Mytilus edulis: one gene and its partner. The protein of the gene in region 1 interacts with the protein of each later gene in a biochemical or structural test. Links are inferred from orthologs where the notes say so. Each region holds a gene or a part of one and is shown on either strand. Other genes may lie near its edges. The genes, in order: F-box-like/WD repeat-containing protein TBL1XR1 and E3 ubiquitin-protein ligase SIAH1-like.

The links.
Region 2: the proteins of F-box-like/WD repeat-containing protein TBL1XR1 (region 1) and E3 ubiquitin-protein ligase SIAH1-like form a complex in vitro, tested with the Drosophila melanogaster proteins (2 studies listed by BioGRID). The link is inferred for Mytilus edulis from reciprocal best matches to the Drosophila melanogaster genes ebi and sina.

What each region holds. Positions count from the first base shown.
Region 1 is NC_092346.1:85,056,415-85,065,964, reverse strand, and holds the start of F-box-like/WD repeat-containing protein TBL1XR1, read left to right. Parts: upstream 1-4,702; 5' UTR 4,703-5,245; intron 5,246-5,572; 5' UTR 5,573-5,626; coding exon 5,627-5,684; intron 5,685-8,664; coding exon 8,665-8,810; intron 8,811-9,550.
Region 2 is NC_092350.1:59,086,138-59,095,571, forward strand, and holds the start of E3 ubiquitin-protein ligase SIAH1-like, read right to left. Parts: upstream 4,592-9,434; 5' UTR 4,511-4,591; intron 312-4,510; 5' UTR 266-311; coding exon 181-265; intron 1-180. UniProt on the Drosophila melanogaster protein: E3 ubiquitin-protein ligase that is required for specification of R7 photoreceptor cell fate in the eye by mediating the ubiquitination and subsequent proteasomal degradation of Tramtrack (ttk).

The DNA of each region.
Region 1 (9,550 bases):
CACGATGGTGACAGATTTGTTCCTATTGATAATCGTTTATGAATATCTGTTTCACACGATGGCGACAGATATGTTCCTATTGTTAATCGTTCTAGAATATCTGTTTCACACGATGGCAACAGATATGTTCCTATTGTTAATCGTTATAGAATATCTGTTTCACACGAGACAGATATGTTCCTATGGTTAATCGTTATAGAATATCTGTTTTACACAATGTCGACAGATATGTTCCTATTGTTAATCGTTATAGAATATCTGTTTTACACATTGTCGACAGACATGTTCCTATGGTAAATCGTTATAGAATATCTGTTTTACACAATGTCCACAGATATGTTCCTATGGTTAATCGTTATAGAATATCTGTTTTACACAATGTCGACAGATATGTTCCTATGGTTAATCGTTATAGAATATCTGTTTCACACGATGTCGACAGATATGTTCCTATGGTTAATCGTTATAGAATATCTGTTTCACACGATGGCGACAGATATGTTCCTATGTTCCTATGGTTAATTGTTATAGAATATCTGTTTCACACGATGGCGACAGGTTATTCCTATGGTTAATCGTTATAGAATGTCTGTTCCTATTGATAATCGTTATAGAATATATGTTTCACACGATGGCGACAGACATGTTCCTATTGTTAATCGTTATAGAATATCTGTTTCACAGGATGGCGACAGATATGTTCCTATGGTTAATCGTTATAGAATATCTGTTTCACACGATGGCGACAGATATGTTCCTATGTTCCTATGGTTAATTGTTATAGAATATCTGTTTCACACGATGGCGACAGGTTATTCCTATGGTTAATCGTTATAGAATGTCTGTTCCTATTGATAATCGTTATAGAATATATGTTTCACACGATGGCGACAGACATGTTCCTATTGTTAATCGTTATAGAATATCTGTTTCACACGATGGCAACAGATATGTTCCTATTGTTAATCGTTATAGAATATCTGTTTCACACGAGACAGATATGTTCCTATGGTTAATCATTATATCTGTTTTACACAATGTCGACAGATATGTTCCTATTGTTAATCGTTATAGAATATCTGTTTCACACATTGTCGACAGACATGTTCCTATGGTAAATCGTTATAGAATATCTGTTTTACACAATGTCCACAGATATGTTCCTATGGTTAATCGTTATAGAATATCTGTTTTACACAATGTCGACAGACATGTTCCTATGTTTATCGTTATAGAATATCTGTTTCACACGATGTCGACAGATATGTTCCTATGGTTAATCGTTATAGAATGTCTGTTTTACACAATGTCCACAGATATGTTCCTATGGTTAATCGTTATAAAATATCTGTTTCACACGATGTCGACAGATATGTTCCTATGGTTAATCGTTATAGAATATCTGTTTCACACGTTGTCCACAGATATGTTCCTATGGTTAATTGTTATAGAATATCTGTTTCACACGATGTCGACAGATATGTTCCTATGGTTAATTGTTATAGAATATCTGTTTCACACGATGTCAACAGATATGTTCCTATGGTTAATTGTTATAGAATATCTGTTTTACACAATGTCAACAGATATGTTCCTATGGTTAATCGTTATAGAATATCTGTTTTACACGATGGCGACAGATATGTTCCTATGGTTAATCGTTATAGAATATCTGTTTTACACAATGTTAACAGATATGTTCCTATGGTTAATTGTTATAGAATATCTGTTTCACACGTTGTCGACAGATATGTTCCTATGGTTAATCGTTATAGAATATCTGTTTTACACAATGTCAACAGATATGTTCCTATGGTTAATCGTTATAGAATATCTGTTTCACACGATGGCGACAGATATGTTCCTATGGTTAATTGTTATAGAATATCTGTTTCACACGATGGCGACAGGTTATTCCTATGGTTAATCGTTATAGAATGTCTGTTCCTATTGATAATCGTTATAGAATATATGTTTCACACGATGGCGACAGATATGTTCCTATTGTTAATCGTTATAGAATATCTGTTTCACACGATGGTGACAGCTATGTTCCTATTGATAATCGTTATAGAATATATGTTTCACACGAGACAAATATGTTCCTATTGTTAATCGTCATAGAATATCTGTTTCACACGATGGCGATAGATACGATGGCGACAGATATGTTCCTATGGTTAATCGTTAAAGAATATCTGTTTCACACAATGGTGACAGATTTGTTCCTATTGATAATCGTTATAGAATATCTGTTTCACACGAGACAGCTATGTTCCTATTGATAATCGTTATAGAATATCTGTTTCACACGATGGCGACAGATATATTCCTATTGTTAATCGTTATAGAATATCTGTTTCACACGATGGCGATAGAAATGTTCCTATTGTTAATCGTTATAGAATATTTGTTTCACACGTTGGCGACAGATATGTTCCTATGGTTAATCGTTATAGAGTATCTGTTTCACACGATGGTGACAGATTTGTTCCTATTGATAATCGTTTTAGAATATCTGTTTCACACGATGGCGACAGATATGTTCCTATTGTTAATCGTTATAGAACACTGTTTCACACGATGGCGATAGATATGTTCCTATTGTTAATCTCTATAGAATATCTGTTTCACACGATGGCGACAGATATGTTCCTATGGTTAATCCTTATAGAATATCTGTTTCAAACGATGGCGACAGATATGTTCCTATTGTTAATCGTTATAGAAATATCTGTTTCACACGATGGCGACAGATATGTTCCTATTGTTAATTGTTATAGAATATCTGTTTCACACGAGACAGATATGTTCCTATGGTTAATCGTTATAGAATATCTGTTTCACACGATGTCGACAGATATGTTCCTATGGTTATCGTTATAGAATATCTGTTTTACACAATGTCGACAGATATGTTCCTAGGGTTAATCGTTATAGAATACCTGTTACACACAATGTCGACCGATAGGTTCCTATGGTTAATCGTTATAGAATATCTGTTTCACACGATGTCGACAGATATGTTCCTATGGTTATCGTTATAGAATATCTGTTTTACACAATGTCGACAGATATGTTCCTAGGGTTAATCGTTATAGAATACCTGTTACACACAATGTCGACCGATAGGTTCCTATGGTTAATCGTTATAGAATACCTGTTTCACACGATGGCAACAGATATGTTCCTATTGTCTTAAATTCATTTCCGTCTTCTTCTTCCTCGAATACGTATTACCGATCGAATGTGTATTACCGATCGAATGTGTATTACCGATCGAATGTGTATTACTGATCGAATGTATATTCCGATCGAATATGTATTACCGATCGAATAGTATTACCGATCGAATGTGTATTACCGATCGGATGTGTATTACCGATCGAATGTGTATTACCGATCAAATTGTACTTTTCAACGGTTTTTAGCTTACACAACCAAACACGACAGCTAGGTGCCACATGTGAAGCAGATTCTGCTTATCCTTCTGGAGCACATGAGATACCCTCAGTTTTGATTTTAGTAATCACGCGGGTTGCTCAATATTTAGTTTTCTAGTTTGTATTTGTGTAACTGTAAGTCTTTTCGTCGTTTTTGTTTTGTTTTTGTCAATGGCATTGACAGTCGGTATTTTTCTGTTTCTTATCATGTGGACTGTTGCTTGTCTGCAAGTCTTTCCGGCTTTGGACATTTTGGTTTTTATTTTTCTTCGACTATTTCCTTGATTGTCCCTTTCAGTATTTTCTTCCCTATATGCACAGGCACTTGTCTCAGATTCAACCCCTTTTATTTAACTTTATATATAGTATATTTGTATAGTAAGATAATTTAGATCCTTACTATACAAATCTAATAATGCTGAGACAAGTGCCTGTGCCCATTTGGACATACATATGAATGACCCATTGCGAGTATCAAAATGCATATAAATTATTTACTCAAGAACTGACGTTTATTAGATGACTGAGCTAATTGTTTAATCTAAGACTATGAATATTTGTATTTGTATTAGAAATCTCAGGTCACTTGTTTCAGGTAATGTGTTAGTATTTAATCTTTAAAAAATACTGACGGATTTTCCCGTCTTGGGTCCTCTCGTCGGAAAATAAATATTGAGCGTTATCTATTGCAACTCTCTTTTACAGTATTATGAATAACGCTACTAGTAATCTTAACACATTGCGAAAAATCAAGAAGGGACGAATAACAATGGCTTTTGTATGTTTACTTTTCAGTGCACAGTATTTGTTTGTCTTATTTTAGGTCAAAGAGTCACGTTTGTAACTTAAATGGGTCAAAGGTGTCAGTAGGGGAAACTTTTTCTTTTCGTCACTTTAAAATATCCTTAAATTTAATGATCTATCACCAAGAACTATAATAATACCTTGTGTTAATTTACAACTTTAGTTGGTAAACAAATTATACTCTATTGCATAAATTCCCACAATAGAACTTTTAAATTTCCCAACTTAGCCCTTTAGAATGTTGCATTTAATTTATAGGTGAAAATATACTATAAGTTCGGTTGTAGCCTTTAGATTATTGTTAAATATCAACAATCTAACTTGAAATTATAAACAAAACTGTATTATAAGTTTGTGATTTTGACGCCTCTTCGAAACATTTCCAAGGATATCATCTAGGGCTAATATTTTATTTTGTCAAACCCGTTCGAATGGGTCATGCCCAGGCTTACGTCATTCATATATACAGCAGTAAAGCGCCTGTAGTATGCAAAATATTAGAAGCTTCCGCAGAAGAAATCTAACCTATTTTATTTGATTCTACGTAATAAACGGAGTTAATCAAATTACACAGAAATTATTTGAAATATAAAATATTTGATTAATGAGATATAAGCCATATTAAATGGAACATATGAGATTTCTTTTTATGTTGATCTCGCACTATTCATAGAAAAGTAGTACTCTGATTGTTCCGCATTCGTCGGCATACTTCGATGATCGAGGAAATTCAATGGAATACACCGGAGACAATTTTCTTGTTTCAGGAGTAATTTGAAGTGTGGTTTATTGTCTATATTATTATCACATTCATCTTCATTGACAGAACTCGAATAACATTAAGTTTTGGTTATTAATTTAAGGAATACTGTTCATTATAATATTTTATTTGCAATCGTTTCAAATACAGTCTGTTTCACAAAACATATTTATTGACTTTGCGCTTGTTTGTGCATATTTTCATTTGACAGTCGGATTCGTTGTTTTAAAATTTGCTGGTAAGTTGTTTTAATATGTATCAGATGTACTAATTGTTGCTATAATGATAATATTATGTCGTTTAAATTGATGCATGGTAAATAGAAAGTTTTCGTTTCAGTAATTAAGAACACAAATATTGAAACATTCCGGGATTTAGTTTGAGTTTAGAGCAATGACATGAACGTTTCTTAAAGACAAACATTCAGTTTTCATTTCTGTATTTAAGGCGATTATAGTCTATTCCTGTAATTAGTTTTGTGATGATAGGCCAAGCTATTTATAGTCTGTTCCATATTTTTCATTTTCTATAGTCTGTTTTATAGTTGTATTACCTTTTGCTTCAGGTAAAGGTCTGCAGTAAATGACTCTTATTTAAAGACAGTAAAAAGTAACAAGTCATGAGCTTTAGCAGTGACGAAGTGAATTTTTTGGTGTACAGATATTTGCAAGAATCTGGTAATTATTTTTTTTTCTCTATTGATACATTTATATATATAGTTCACACAGTGAGTAGTTTCTATGTACATTACATACATGTACATATGACATTGGATGACATCATACATGTACTGAAGTGAAAGAAAATGAGGTAATGAATAACTTTATCAAATCACTTTTCCAGTAACACCAATACCCTGGCTACATTTGTATCTACCTTTAAATATATTTATATATACTGAAACCTAAAATGTCAGTACATGTTGAAGCATGCTTCAAGTTAGGTCAATAAATATATACTTGGTTCCTGTCTCCATAAAGAAGCATACATGTACATGTTGGATAGCAGGGTTCTCTCTAAGACGTGTATACACGTCCTGGACGCATGGAAATCTAGCTGGACGCATCATTTTTGAAACCTGTGAGTCCCTGGGACGCGTCCTCCTTGTATCCCATGAGTCCAAAACATATCGTTTTGCATAGAAAATTCTGACATTGTTTTGACAGGAAACTATTCCGGAAGTTGACATTTTTATGATATGCGCAGGTCAATATTTTTGTTGACTGATACATATTTTTTTTAATTAAATGTATCTCATACTAAAATATTATAATTCTATTAAAAAGTATCAATAAATATGTTATAGTTACCGATTTTGTAATTTTATGAGTATTTGATAAGCTTGAATATTTCCATGTGTTGAACATCACATCCCTGTCGATTGAAACATAGAAAGTAAAATATATCTGTGAACTTGAAACAAAATGATATAATATTTCACAAATGATGCTTAACATATAAAATATATCATAAAACAGCGTAGATTAAATAAAATATGAATGAGAATAATTTTACTTGTCTTCGATTGAATTTTCTCGTATTGTGCATGTTGAACATCGCGATCGTAAACAGGTAAAAAAAAAATTGAAAATCTGATTAGAACATGATGTAAAATTTATAGTAGTGCTATTTAGCCAAGATCATTATGTTGAACAGTGTATGATAATTTTCATGATTCAAACAAATAATTTAACATATGATATACTGTAAAAGAAAATTTCCTAAACTCTTTATTTATGTCTATAAAATGTGTCAAGTACACTACATGTACAAAATTGTAGTCATGAAATTTTTAAGTACATACATGAGGAAATGAAGTAAACAGAATTTAGCTGAAAACAAGTCCTCACCAATAACAACCAACATTTACATAGGTACTTTTACTTGAAAAAAGTAAATGAAACATTTTAAAATTATGAAGATTATCTGAAACTTAAATATGATCCGAATAAGCTCAGTGTTAAACGTACCCTGTCACACAACTCAACAACATCTGATTGGAACTATGTTTTGACAACAATACTGGTTCACACATATTTCAGAGGAAGTGGGTTATTTGTGAATTTGAAGTCAATCCATCTTGGGTAAATTGAAATGTAGGATTGAGACATGATTTTAATCACATCATATACAAAAATGTCTGAGTTTTACAATGTCCATGTAAATGTAGCTTATAGTCTAAAGTATATGTAGGTGTGAATGCTAATGCATATTCTAGTCCAGAATGGTACAATATAAAATTGAGAATGGAAATGGGGAATGTGCCAAAGAGACAACAACCCGACTATAGAGCAGACAACAGCAGAAGGTCACCAACAGGTCTTCAATGCAACAAGAAATTCTCACACCCAGAGGCGTCCTTCAGCTGGCCCCTAAACAAATATATACTGGTTCAGTGATAATGAACACCATACTAAACTCCAAATTGTACACAAGAAACTAAAAGTTAAAATGATACAAGACTAACAAAGGCCAGAGGCTCCTGACTTGGGACAGGCGCAAAAATGCGGCGGGGTAATAAATGCATGAGAATATTTTATTACTTTTTTTGGCAAATCTAATATGCATACATGTACAATTTATTTCACTTGTATATATAATATTAATAATAATAAAGATTTAAATTTAGAATAACAATTACATATTGCAGAACCAGTATAAGCACACTGTATTTAATTCCCATATTATAAATCCAGATATTCATTACGTTTCATAACATTTGATTTGAACCTAATAAAAGAAAAGTACATTTGGTATGATTGCCAATGAGACAACTATCCACAAAAGACCAAAATGACACGGACATTAACAACTATAGGTCACTGTACGGCATTCAACAATGAGCAAAGCCCATACCGCATAGTCAGCTTTAAAAGGCCCCTATAAGACAATGTAAAACAATTCAAACCAGAAAACTAATGGCCTTATTTATATAATAAAATGAACGAAAAACAAATATGTAACACATAAACAAACGACAACCACTGAATTACAGGCTCCTGCCTTGGGACAGGCACATACATAAATAAAGTGGTGGGGTTAAACATGTTAGCGGGATCCCAACCCTCCCCCTAACCTGGGACAGTGGTATAACAGTACAACATAAGAACGAACTTGTATATGCAGAGCAAAAATACACAATAAAAGCAAAGGGACAACGCTTATATAGGTGTTGTACTGGTTCATCTCAAAAGTCACCGTGAGGCCTTAAATATGGAGCAAAAAAAAACTCTAACCTCACTACAAGTTCCCTAGCATGCATGTGATGAAAGCAAATGAAAGCTGATTAGTAGATACAGTCGCAATTCATTAATGTATAGTACAATCATGTTATTTAAAGGTAAAACAGGCTGTCACAAAGTTTGACTTTTTACATATCATCTTTGACAAGTGTGACTTTCAAGCGATCTGAAAAAAAATATAATGCTCCACAGTGTGCTACATGTACTTTGGAACCCAATGTGGACCAATTTGATAAAGAGGCCCAAAATCAAAATACACGGTCAGTTAGCAGGTTAGATTGAACACATCTGGCCTCAAATTTTAACTTCTCCTTTATCATCTCATCAAGTGCATTTACATGTATATTTAAATATAGAATATAAGAACTTGTTGATTGTAACTTCTTTAAACCTAATTATTAATTTTATTTGTAAGGTTTTGTGCACTCAGCCTATACTTTTGGAATTGAAAGCCATATCAGTCAGTCTAATATCAATGGAGCACTGGTGCCACCAGCAGCATTGCTGAACATCATACAAAAGGGCCTACAGTATACAGAGGCTGAGATAAGCATTGCAGAGGTAAAGACTAGATTTAAATGGTTATAATACCTAAATTATAATTAGAGCATAGAAATTAAGGATTTAAAACACAATCATAAACTTGTGTATTATATATTCATTTGGTTTATTACTGTGCTTATTCATGGTGTATCAGTTTTACAAGTTTTTTTTGTGGAATAAGCAAGAAAATTGAGAAAGAATTGTGAAAGAAACAACAACTTGACAATAGAGCAGATAACAGCCGAAAAATACAGATACAATGTATTTAAACATTCAATGATAATCAGCTGACTTCAATTTACAATGTGTACATTTAAATCTAGCCCCTTAGTTTTGCCAAGACAGTTTATGATTTTTGTCTCGCTTGACAGAGTAAAAAAACGAGACATAGGTATGCTGTTTCCGGTGTCAGCAGCGACAAGTGCCGCATCAACAATGTATTAGTTTGTGATTATGTCTTGTTTATGGTGAACCAGTAGTGGTAGGTCAATGATAATTGGTATGCAGTTGTATTAGCATTGGCACATCTCATTACCATGGAGATTATTTGACCCTGCCCCCTCATTTATGGTTTATTGACTTCGAAATTTTGCTTAATTTACATGTATGAGTTTGTGTTTAGGTATGTTTAAAGGGAACCACTTATGAGGGGGAGGACAGGGGTAAGGGAGACAGGGAGAAAGGGGGTAGGAGAAAGGAGAAAGGGGGTGGGAGAAAGGAGAAAGGGGGTAGGAGAAAGGAGAGAAAGGCTGGGAGAA
Region 2 (9,434 bases), on another chromosome or scaffold:
AAATGCAAAGCTTGTTTTTTTCTTCTACATTATTAACACCTACATGTACATGACCTATATATTCACATGTTTAGTGATAATATAAAATTATACATCACCATAACTTGTGAATTTAATTTTTAAAACAGGGAAAAATCTTCATCTTATTATTTTATTTTTTTGATTATTTCTCCAACATACCAAGAGCTGCTGCAGTATTAGCTGGGGCAGCGGCTGCATGCTGCCTTTGCTTGCCTGACGATGATGTTTGCCTACTCAAACTCATGGTTATCACTTGTGAGCTGATGGATACATCAAAATATCAAATACATCTGAAAATGTAAAAAAAATAATGATAATTAATTTGGACGGACATAAATATAAATTGACTCAGATTTTTTGACATCTGTAAATTAAAAGAATTATTGTTTTATGTTAATCAATGCGTCTTTATACATGCAGTACTGATTTTACATGTCCACAATTTAAAAGTTTTTCTGTTCTGGTCCAAATCAGTCTGCACCAAAAACTTTTTCAACTACTAGTTCGAAGACCAATATTCTGACATTTTTCCATGTTATTGGGCCAAACAAAGTTTTGCAAAAACTTACTAGTCTGAATGAAATTTTACTAGTCTGGGGCATCAGACTAGTGGCTTACTGTGCAGACTGCAAATGCTAGACTGTTTCATAGATCTTTAACAAAAGCATGAAAAGGGAATGTTATCTATATTTTTGCACATCATGCACTTTGAAATTTGGGAATCCAGTAACTAATATAAATAAAGACTACACATGTACTTCTTTAGCATTCATAACATTTATATACATGATATAGTTAAGTGTTAAAACAAATTACTTTAATTTGAATACTGTGGATTCATTTATTTTCATTGGATACCAATTTTCGTGGATTTCTTTGGTACAGGGGACAATAAGATGCACATTGTGCCATAGGAAATGTATGGCAAATTTACAAATTTGAAAGGCATGTTCTATTACTCCACCATGTCAACACCACTGTTGAACCCATAATTGCAGACTATACTACATGTACTACAAATGTATGCTGGCCATGCGTAGTAAACAAAATACAAATGTAGGCGGTTTAGCCTTTTGTAATTATATATTTAACAGAAATATCTTTAAAGGAAGTGCACTAATAATAATTGATCTGACAATTGGTGGGTTTTTAAACCTAACGAAAAAAAACAACAAAACCAAGGTTGTAATTATTCCATTACACTTTGTATTAATCCGTAAACTGCAATTTGAAAATCTGTTACGCTTGAACTTTTGTCATCATACAATTAGGCCAGACTTTTTATTTTATCTGTTTAACGAGAAAATTTGTAAAAAATTAGGGTCGAGGGGGCGAAATAAAAAAAAAAATAAAAGTGCAAAATTGGTCCAGTCGACACTAAAAATAAAACCATTATAAGTGATTTTTTTTTTTTTTTTTTATAGAATTTATCAAAATACAAGAACAATGAAATGAGAACAGACCAGTATATTAATCCAGAGAAATATAAATACATATAATTTATATATGTCTCTGGTTAACCCTTCTATTAATATAAACATAAAAACTATGTTTTGATTCTGTATTTCCACTAATATAGATCCATGGCACCACTCAAATATATCAACCTCGCTGCATATACACTATATATGTATATACCAGTCACCCAGTCAGGAACCTCTTAGTGTATGCAGAGACATACATATACACATGTGTATATATGTCTCTGGTGTAATAGTCCCAGAGTTAAGTAACTTTAACCTATAAATTGAAACAATGCTTATACATGGAAATATATACATTAATCAAGAAGATCTAACCAAAAGTATGTTAATGCGTGTGGAATGCGTAATTTTCCCTTTTGGGATCAATTTTTGTCTGTCAGCAGTGCCATTCATGCGTCTGTAGTCATTATCGCAAGAATCCGGATTTCGGTCATAGCGGGTCCGTTTCTGATGAAATCCTGATTTCGATCCGTAGTTCTACAAATTTAAATGTCGGACGAAGAAAAATTTACAAAAATAAACGATGTTTGATACGCTATTTGGAAAGGAATATGACGTTTCTAATGCAATACATGGATGACAAGTTTACTTGAGGCTAATTTCATCAAGTTCTGATGAAGTAATAACTGATTTTGCCGAAAGTTAGAATGATTTGATGTACGCTCTCGTGTAACAAGTATGAAAAGCATGCCCCCAGCTTAAAAATCTTTTAGAAGAAAATATATCGTGTATGCCTTGAATTTCTTTACTTTTAAATGCAAATTGCTCTTTCATTGACTTGGTAAAAATTAAATATTACCGATAACGAAATTGACTGAAAGCGAGTATCGTGAACAACACATTTTATTTTTTTCTGAGCATTTCGTAACAGTCGGCGGGAAAAATAATAATAAAAGTAAGAAGCACTACTTTTGTTTTTATTCTAAAATCGGGAAAGGTGGAGTCAGCGGATCTCGTTAAACAGATATTAAAAAAAGTCTGGCCTTATCACTTTTCTATTGTGTCGTCAGATATTTTCTATTATGACAAGTATGACATCAAAATTTTATGGAAACTTTAGAGGTACCTAGAAATGCACAAAATAGCGATTAGCAAAATATGATTAGGAAATAGTTCATGGGGCTTGAATTTAGACTGATTTTACAATGGGTTTGCCCTTTATGCTAAATATTTTACCAAGTGGGACAGCAAGGGGTAAAACATCAGCATAAAGGGAAAACATGTGGTAAAATCAGTATAAATTCAAGCCCCCATGAATTATTTCTATTCTATAAATAGGGCAAATACAACATTTTTTGTTATCGATGCGCATTAGGTGAAGGGAAATATTTGCTGGTCCTGTAAATAAACGCACTATTAATTTGACGTAAAAGTGTGTATAATTACGTCATCTTTTCATGACGTCGGGTCATACCTGCCAACTTTTGAAAATGGCCATGGGGGTTTTTGTGCGCGGCACCATTTTTGAGGGTAGAATTTTTCGCGGCATTTTTTCGTGTGTTGATTTGGCTCCTAAAAGTGTCTGACATACTTCTTTTTTGGGGGGTGATAGTTGAAGATGCTATTATAACCTATCTTTTTTTAAATTGTTTGATTGTTGTATTCTTTTTGTTGAGATAAACACCAGTAAGATGACTTTATGTTTGTCTGATACATTGTCAAGAAATAAAAAAAAAGTAATATTTTAATAATTTAATAACAAAAAAAACAACAATATATGAGGGTCTGGAAATGGGGGGGGGGGGGGGGGGGGACTGTTGTTCTGTAAACATTTAATTTTCACCCCTTTTTTCTCTAATCTTCAAAAAATTAACCTCTTTTTTTTCTAATCTTCAAAAAATTTGACCACGCATTTCTCCAATTTTTTTTTGCCCGTTATTCCCTTATCTTCATTTTTTAAGGGCATTATATTCTTTAATCATTTAACCCCATCCAAACCCTCATATATTATATAGATCAATATCACAAGCAGTACTAGAATGTTTGGAGACATCATTAAGGCCACCGTGGTCAACTTTAAAGTCTCTATTGCAAACTTTACAAAAGGCATGTGACAATCCTAACGTTGATTTAGACAACCAGCCCCTGTACTTGACATCATTCTCCCATTTCTCTAAGTATTTGCACGAAGCAACACGCTTTTTTTTCTTAGGCCGTGACAGAACTATTTTGCAAGTGATAACTCGCCCATCATGATTCCAATTTTTATAAATTTGACACCCAAGCTAAAAAAAAAAAAACAACTCAAAATTTCAATTCTTTGATTGTTTACTATGCCGACATTAATCAACTGGTGAATGCGTGATCACTAAATTTTGATTGGATGAAATTTGTCAGACACGATTTGTCTCCCTTGGGAAAACTTTTAAAAGTTCAAAATCGGGAACAAAAATATTTTTCGTGTAAATTTTACTAAAATCGTGTTTTTTGGCTATTTTCAAGATCACGATCGTGTAATCGGGACAGAGGGTCAAAATCGTGTAGTAAACGCCTAAATCGTGAAAGTTGGCAGGTATGTCGGGTATCTCATTCATAAAAAAGCTTATGACGTGCGAGTATGATCCAAACAGCCCAAACAATATATTTCTATTATATTAATATTATCAGCAGTGTGTACTCACAGGGTTAGATTAACGTCATGTTAGAATTTAAGGTGTATAAACTATGATGCCTGTGGCTGTGACTGCATGATATAATTTATGTTGTAAATAGACCAAATGTATGCCATCTCATTTGGAGTATGGTGGTGCATTGAGAATATTGCAGATGTTTATTTTCTTATTTGAAAAGGCATTGTTTTCGTGAAAGTAGAATCGTTAAAAAAAGATGTCTGGTTTGTGAAAAATTTTGTTGTAAAACCGTAAACAGAAATGGGCGATTTGTGCGTTTTATTGCGACTGGATTTTCATTATGACCATCAACACAGTACATTATGACATTTTTAACTATGACATAAGATTTTCTAAATATCAATTAAATATATCATAGTAAACACAGAACATTACATTCTATTTTCTTCTACGAGATAATTATTCTTCATTCTCCATTTATATGCGTTCTACGTCATCATTTCCGTTGTACATATCGTGGTTTTTATAAGTAGTTTTAGCGGGAAATTATGAATTGAAGTTTAAAGTTAACTATATTATAATATAAATTTATATATGAGACAATATCTGAAAAAGTCTAATTTTTGGAAATAAGAAAAAACAACTTTTTTTTTTTAGACCCAGTATTTTAATAGCACAAATCGAAGAACACACATTGGGGATCTAGGAACTGTTGTCTGTAATTCAAACAATTGTTTAATAAGGAAACAATGGCTATTTTAAAAATGATACAAACAAATCCAGTTCTTTCCTGTTACCAAAGTGAATCAATTTAAAAAAGTTTCTAATGGGAATAAGGAATAAGTTTAAGACACTATTTGTGGTTTACTAGTATATCCTGCAACAGTTTATCAAATGCCAATTATTGATTATGCATTTGCAATACAAAAGGTTTAGAAATATACGTAAATATAGTCAGATATGTCGGTAACATGAAAGAATCTTGAGTAACAGCACAACGGTAACAGGACAGAGTTGGTAACAGAAAGGATTTTTCTGCTTTACTTTAATGTTTAAGAAAAATACATCATTTTAAATTGGTTACAATTGGAAGATAACAGCAAACGATGTCATTTATCCTTTGAAACTGTATTTGCAAGATGAAAAATCTGCCTAGGTAATGAAAAATTCTAAAATAAATTCCTTTCTGTTACTATCTACTATACTAGAATTGCACAATGTTCTCTGCTGTTATCAAAAGCAAAAAACCTAATTTTTAATTCAATATACTGTATATTATTTTGAAATTTATTTAATATGGTGGTGATAACTTATATTAAATGAAATGGTTGGCATATAGTAGATTAACTTTTCGATTCTTCAGTAAAATTGTCTTGAACATCCTTCCTGTTACTGATGATGGTTATGCTGTTACTTTTTATCAGGTAACATGACAGAACGTAACAGAAAGGAATTACGCGATAGTTTTTGTCCTTTTTATCACATTAAATGTAAGTGTATTTCCTGTGACATATAACTTTTAAAAAGATGATATAAAAACACACTTAATGCTGTGGTGCACACTTAAAAATATTCTCAGAAAGTGTAAGAAAAGGCTGTAACAGGATAGAACACCAATAAGTATTTTTCTATAAATTCTTACCTTGGATATGGGCTTGAATTTTCAAACCTGGCCGCCTTTCCAACTATTTCTTTGTACTAATGCATTCAGGAAATGATGCTCTTCACAATTCATAATGGGAAAATAACTCTTGGTCTTGTAAACGTTTCCACAGGTAAAAAAAACACAGTGGTAACAGGAGGGAAATCACCCTTGGGGACAAATTTTTTTTTCTGTTAAAATTTGCAAAATTTTATTACATGCTATAGTTATAACATAAAAAGACAAATTAGGGGCAAGTTTATTATATAATATATCATATATGTGAGAATCGGACGCCTGTTTAATTAATTTGGATATTATTTGAATGATTTAGTTTTCAAAAAAACACAGGGGACAACATGATTTTAGGGGGGGTTGAACATTTAAATTACAATATTTTATTGGAAGAAATATAAGAATGAGTGTTTAATTGGCAGGCCATGGTGCATTATATAATTTAGTTTATACTGAAACTTAAAATTTTCAAAAAAGATGGTCGAATAAAAAAATAATTGCTGGTGAAGTGGGAGACATGGAAATTAGACTTTTTCAGATATTGTCTCATATATACTGTAGAAACACTAATTTCCGTGGGGTTAAAATTTCGCGTTTTTGTGTGTTAATAAGATTTCATTGGGATTTAATTTCGTGGATTCCAATAAATGGAATATATATATATAATTGTTAAATTTTCATGGACTCCATATATATATATAAATGGAGAATGAAGAATATATATATATATATATATGACAAGTACACACCCGTGATATCGCGGGTCCGTGACTGAATTAAAGTATATAACTATGCCTAAGCCTTATTTAAGTAATTAGTATTGTCATCTGATAAAGGCATGTCGGTTATAAATACAAAGTTTTCTCTGCTTTCAAATCTTTCTGTTTGAACCCGTCGATCTGGAACTTATCAATTATTGGTAATATTAATTATTTGGAAAACAAAGGTCCTGGCTATCCAGGAATGAGGGCCCTCATGGGGTTTTTGATTATGTGATTACTTGGCCGTTTTTTTAATGATTATTTGATTATTAAGCCAAATATTTCATGATTATTTGATTACCTAGGACTGTATTTTTAGTTTATGATTATTTGATTACTAAAGATAAGCAAATATTTAATGATTATGTGATTATATTGGCAAAAAAATGGTGATTATGTGATTACTAGGACCCCCCATGAGGGGCCTCAGGAATGGAGTATTGTTTAATCAACAGCATTGTCCTATATTAGTTATCTTAGAAAGTCTTGCTGATTGCTGAATAAAACTATAATAGGGAACAATTTGACAATGATTGAATTTAGTAGTGTCCCTTTGATTATGACCCGTGTATATAGCAAAATCCTAAATACACCGTTTGGTGGTGCGCCTGTCAAATGCGGAACGTACAGATAAGGTAATAGCTAACAGGTGAATATACTATTGGTATTGGTATCGGATTCGACCCGGAACTTGTTAATTATTGGCAATATTAATTATGTGGAAAACAAAAGGGTCTGGAGTGGTGTAATTTTTAATCTACACCATTGTCCTATATTAGTTATATATAGAGTTGAATTCTTTGATTTGTCGTTTTTACCCGATGACGGCTGACAAATTGGACCTCGTAATTTTAGTATTATAGATATATTCTTTCCACGAAATAAACGAAATTAAATCCTCCACGAAAATATCCGCTTCTACAGTATATGTAGACGACGATTTCTCATTATACTTAGACTGACTTTAAAACTCAATGACTTGTCTTAAAAGCTTAAAATTCTAGGATGATATTTGAAAAAAAGGCAGGACAGGATTTTGAGTTAAAAAAAAAAAGGGCAGGATGAGTAACTTGGCAAACAAAAAAGGCAGGATGACAATTGTTGTAAAAAAGTCAGGATAAGCTAAGAAAAAAAGACAGGACCGAATAGACTGAAAAATAAAAAGGCAGGACAGAGATTACAACTAAAAAAAAAAAGGCAGGACACAATTTTTTATCCTAGCCCCCCCATAAAAATCAAATAGTAGCTCCCTTAGAACAGGGTATGATTTGGCAAGTGCTGTCAGCACAGTCATAACCGAAATGGGTAGCCAGTATACCCCCACCCGCGGTCTTATCTTGCTTATTTTCTGCTAATTACCACCATGCATGCTTTACGTGCTACATTTTGTGCTGTTTGATTTATTGCATGTTTATATGTTGTATTGTTATGAATGTTAGATATCCTTGCTTGTATACTATGCCGACTCCAAATAAAGCTTATTCTTTTATTATTTATGAACCCGATCGAGACAGGATATCTGGAACATAATAGTATTGACATAATAGAGCATAATAGTCCCAGATGATAAACATATGCTAATGCAGATAACTGATCTCTGATTGTATGTGCAGGTAAACACTTTTTTTTTTGTATTCAGTATAGAAAAGATAAGATCAGATCAGATAAGATGCTAAGAAAACTCTATTTTGACTCGGCATTTATTTTTAAAATAAATATACATAGATTTTTACCGGATATAAAAAAAAAAGAGACATGTACACAATCTCTCAGTGGTTGAACTTGTTTAAGCACATATTTGAAACCAGCATGATAAACATAGGTGGATCCAGGGGGCCTGGGCCCCCTTTCGTTGAAAAAAATTGGTTGATTATATATTAGGGAATCACTAACGCATGACTGGATCCCCCTACCCCTTAGGTCAGTATAAGCGCCCCTTTATAAAAAGTTCTGAATCCGCCACTGATACAATAGTAAAATGGTCCACTGGAATAAACACTATGAAAGCTTGATTTGAAAACAAGTAAAAATCGCGATTACACTTTTTTCTATAAATAAAAGAAGTTCATCAATTACATGTATCAAAAAAATTTATGAGCCACTTTAGACATGAAAAATCCTACAGATAAAGATCTGCGAGATATCTGGGATATATTTTTGGTAGGCACAACAACATCAGAAACGACATTTTTTTTAGTGTAGTTTTAAAGAAATTGCTAAATTTAAAACAAGTTGCTTTCTTTAAAAAAAAGAAAAGCAATACATGAACCTAAGACCGCTAACACTATAAAGGTATATAGGAATGGGTTTTTTTCTGAGACAAGTGCCTATGCTTTTATACACCACATTTAGACTTTTTCCTGGCGGCCAGTTTTTATTGGTGGAGGGAGCCGGAGTTATCGGAGAAAACCACAGACCTTCAATAGGAAAACTAATATAAAAAATACCAAAAACTATTTATATTAAATCATTTATAAACAATACTAATAAACATAAAAGCCAAGAGTGGCATTTTCTGCTAAGTAGCCACAGACAGAAAAAAGGACGCCTCCGGGTGCGGGAGTTTCTCGCTACATTGAACACCCATCGGTGGCCTTCGGCTGTTGTCTGCTCTATGGTCGGGTTGTTGTCGCTTTGACACATTCCCCATTACCTTTCTCAATTTTATTGTCATGGCATAATAATCAGCTCGTTGACTGTGGCCATTATCAGGCAGGAGCAGAAGAAGAAGAAGAAGAAGAAGTATGTTGTTCGTGAACATTTTGTTTTTGTTAAGAGTTGAACACAAAAAACTTGTTTGGCCAATGAAAGAACTCGAGAGCATTCTGTGATTTCTTAGGGATGAAAACATTTTCATTAAATCTGGTCTTACGAGGACTCAATATATTTTAGATTTTATGGAAGAATACAAATTTTCTGCAAAGGAGCTCGAGGTTGGTAA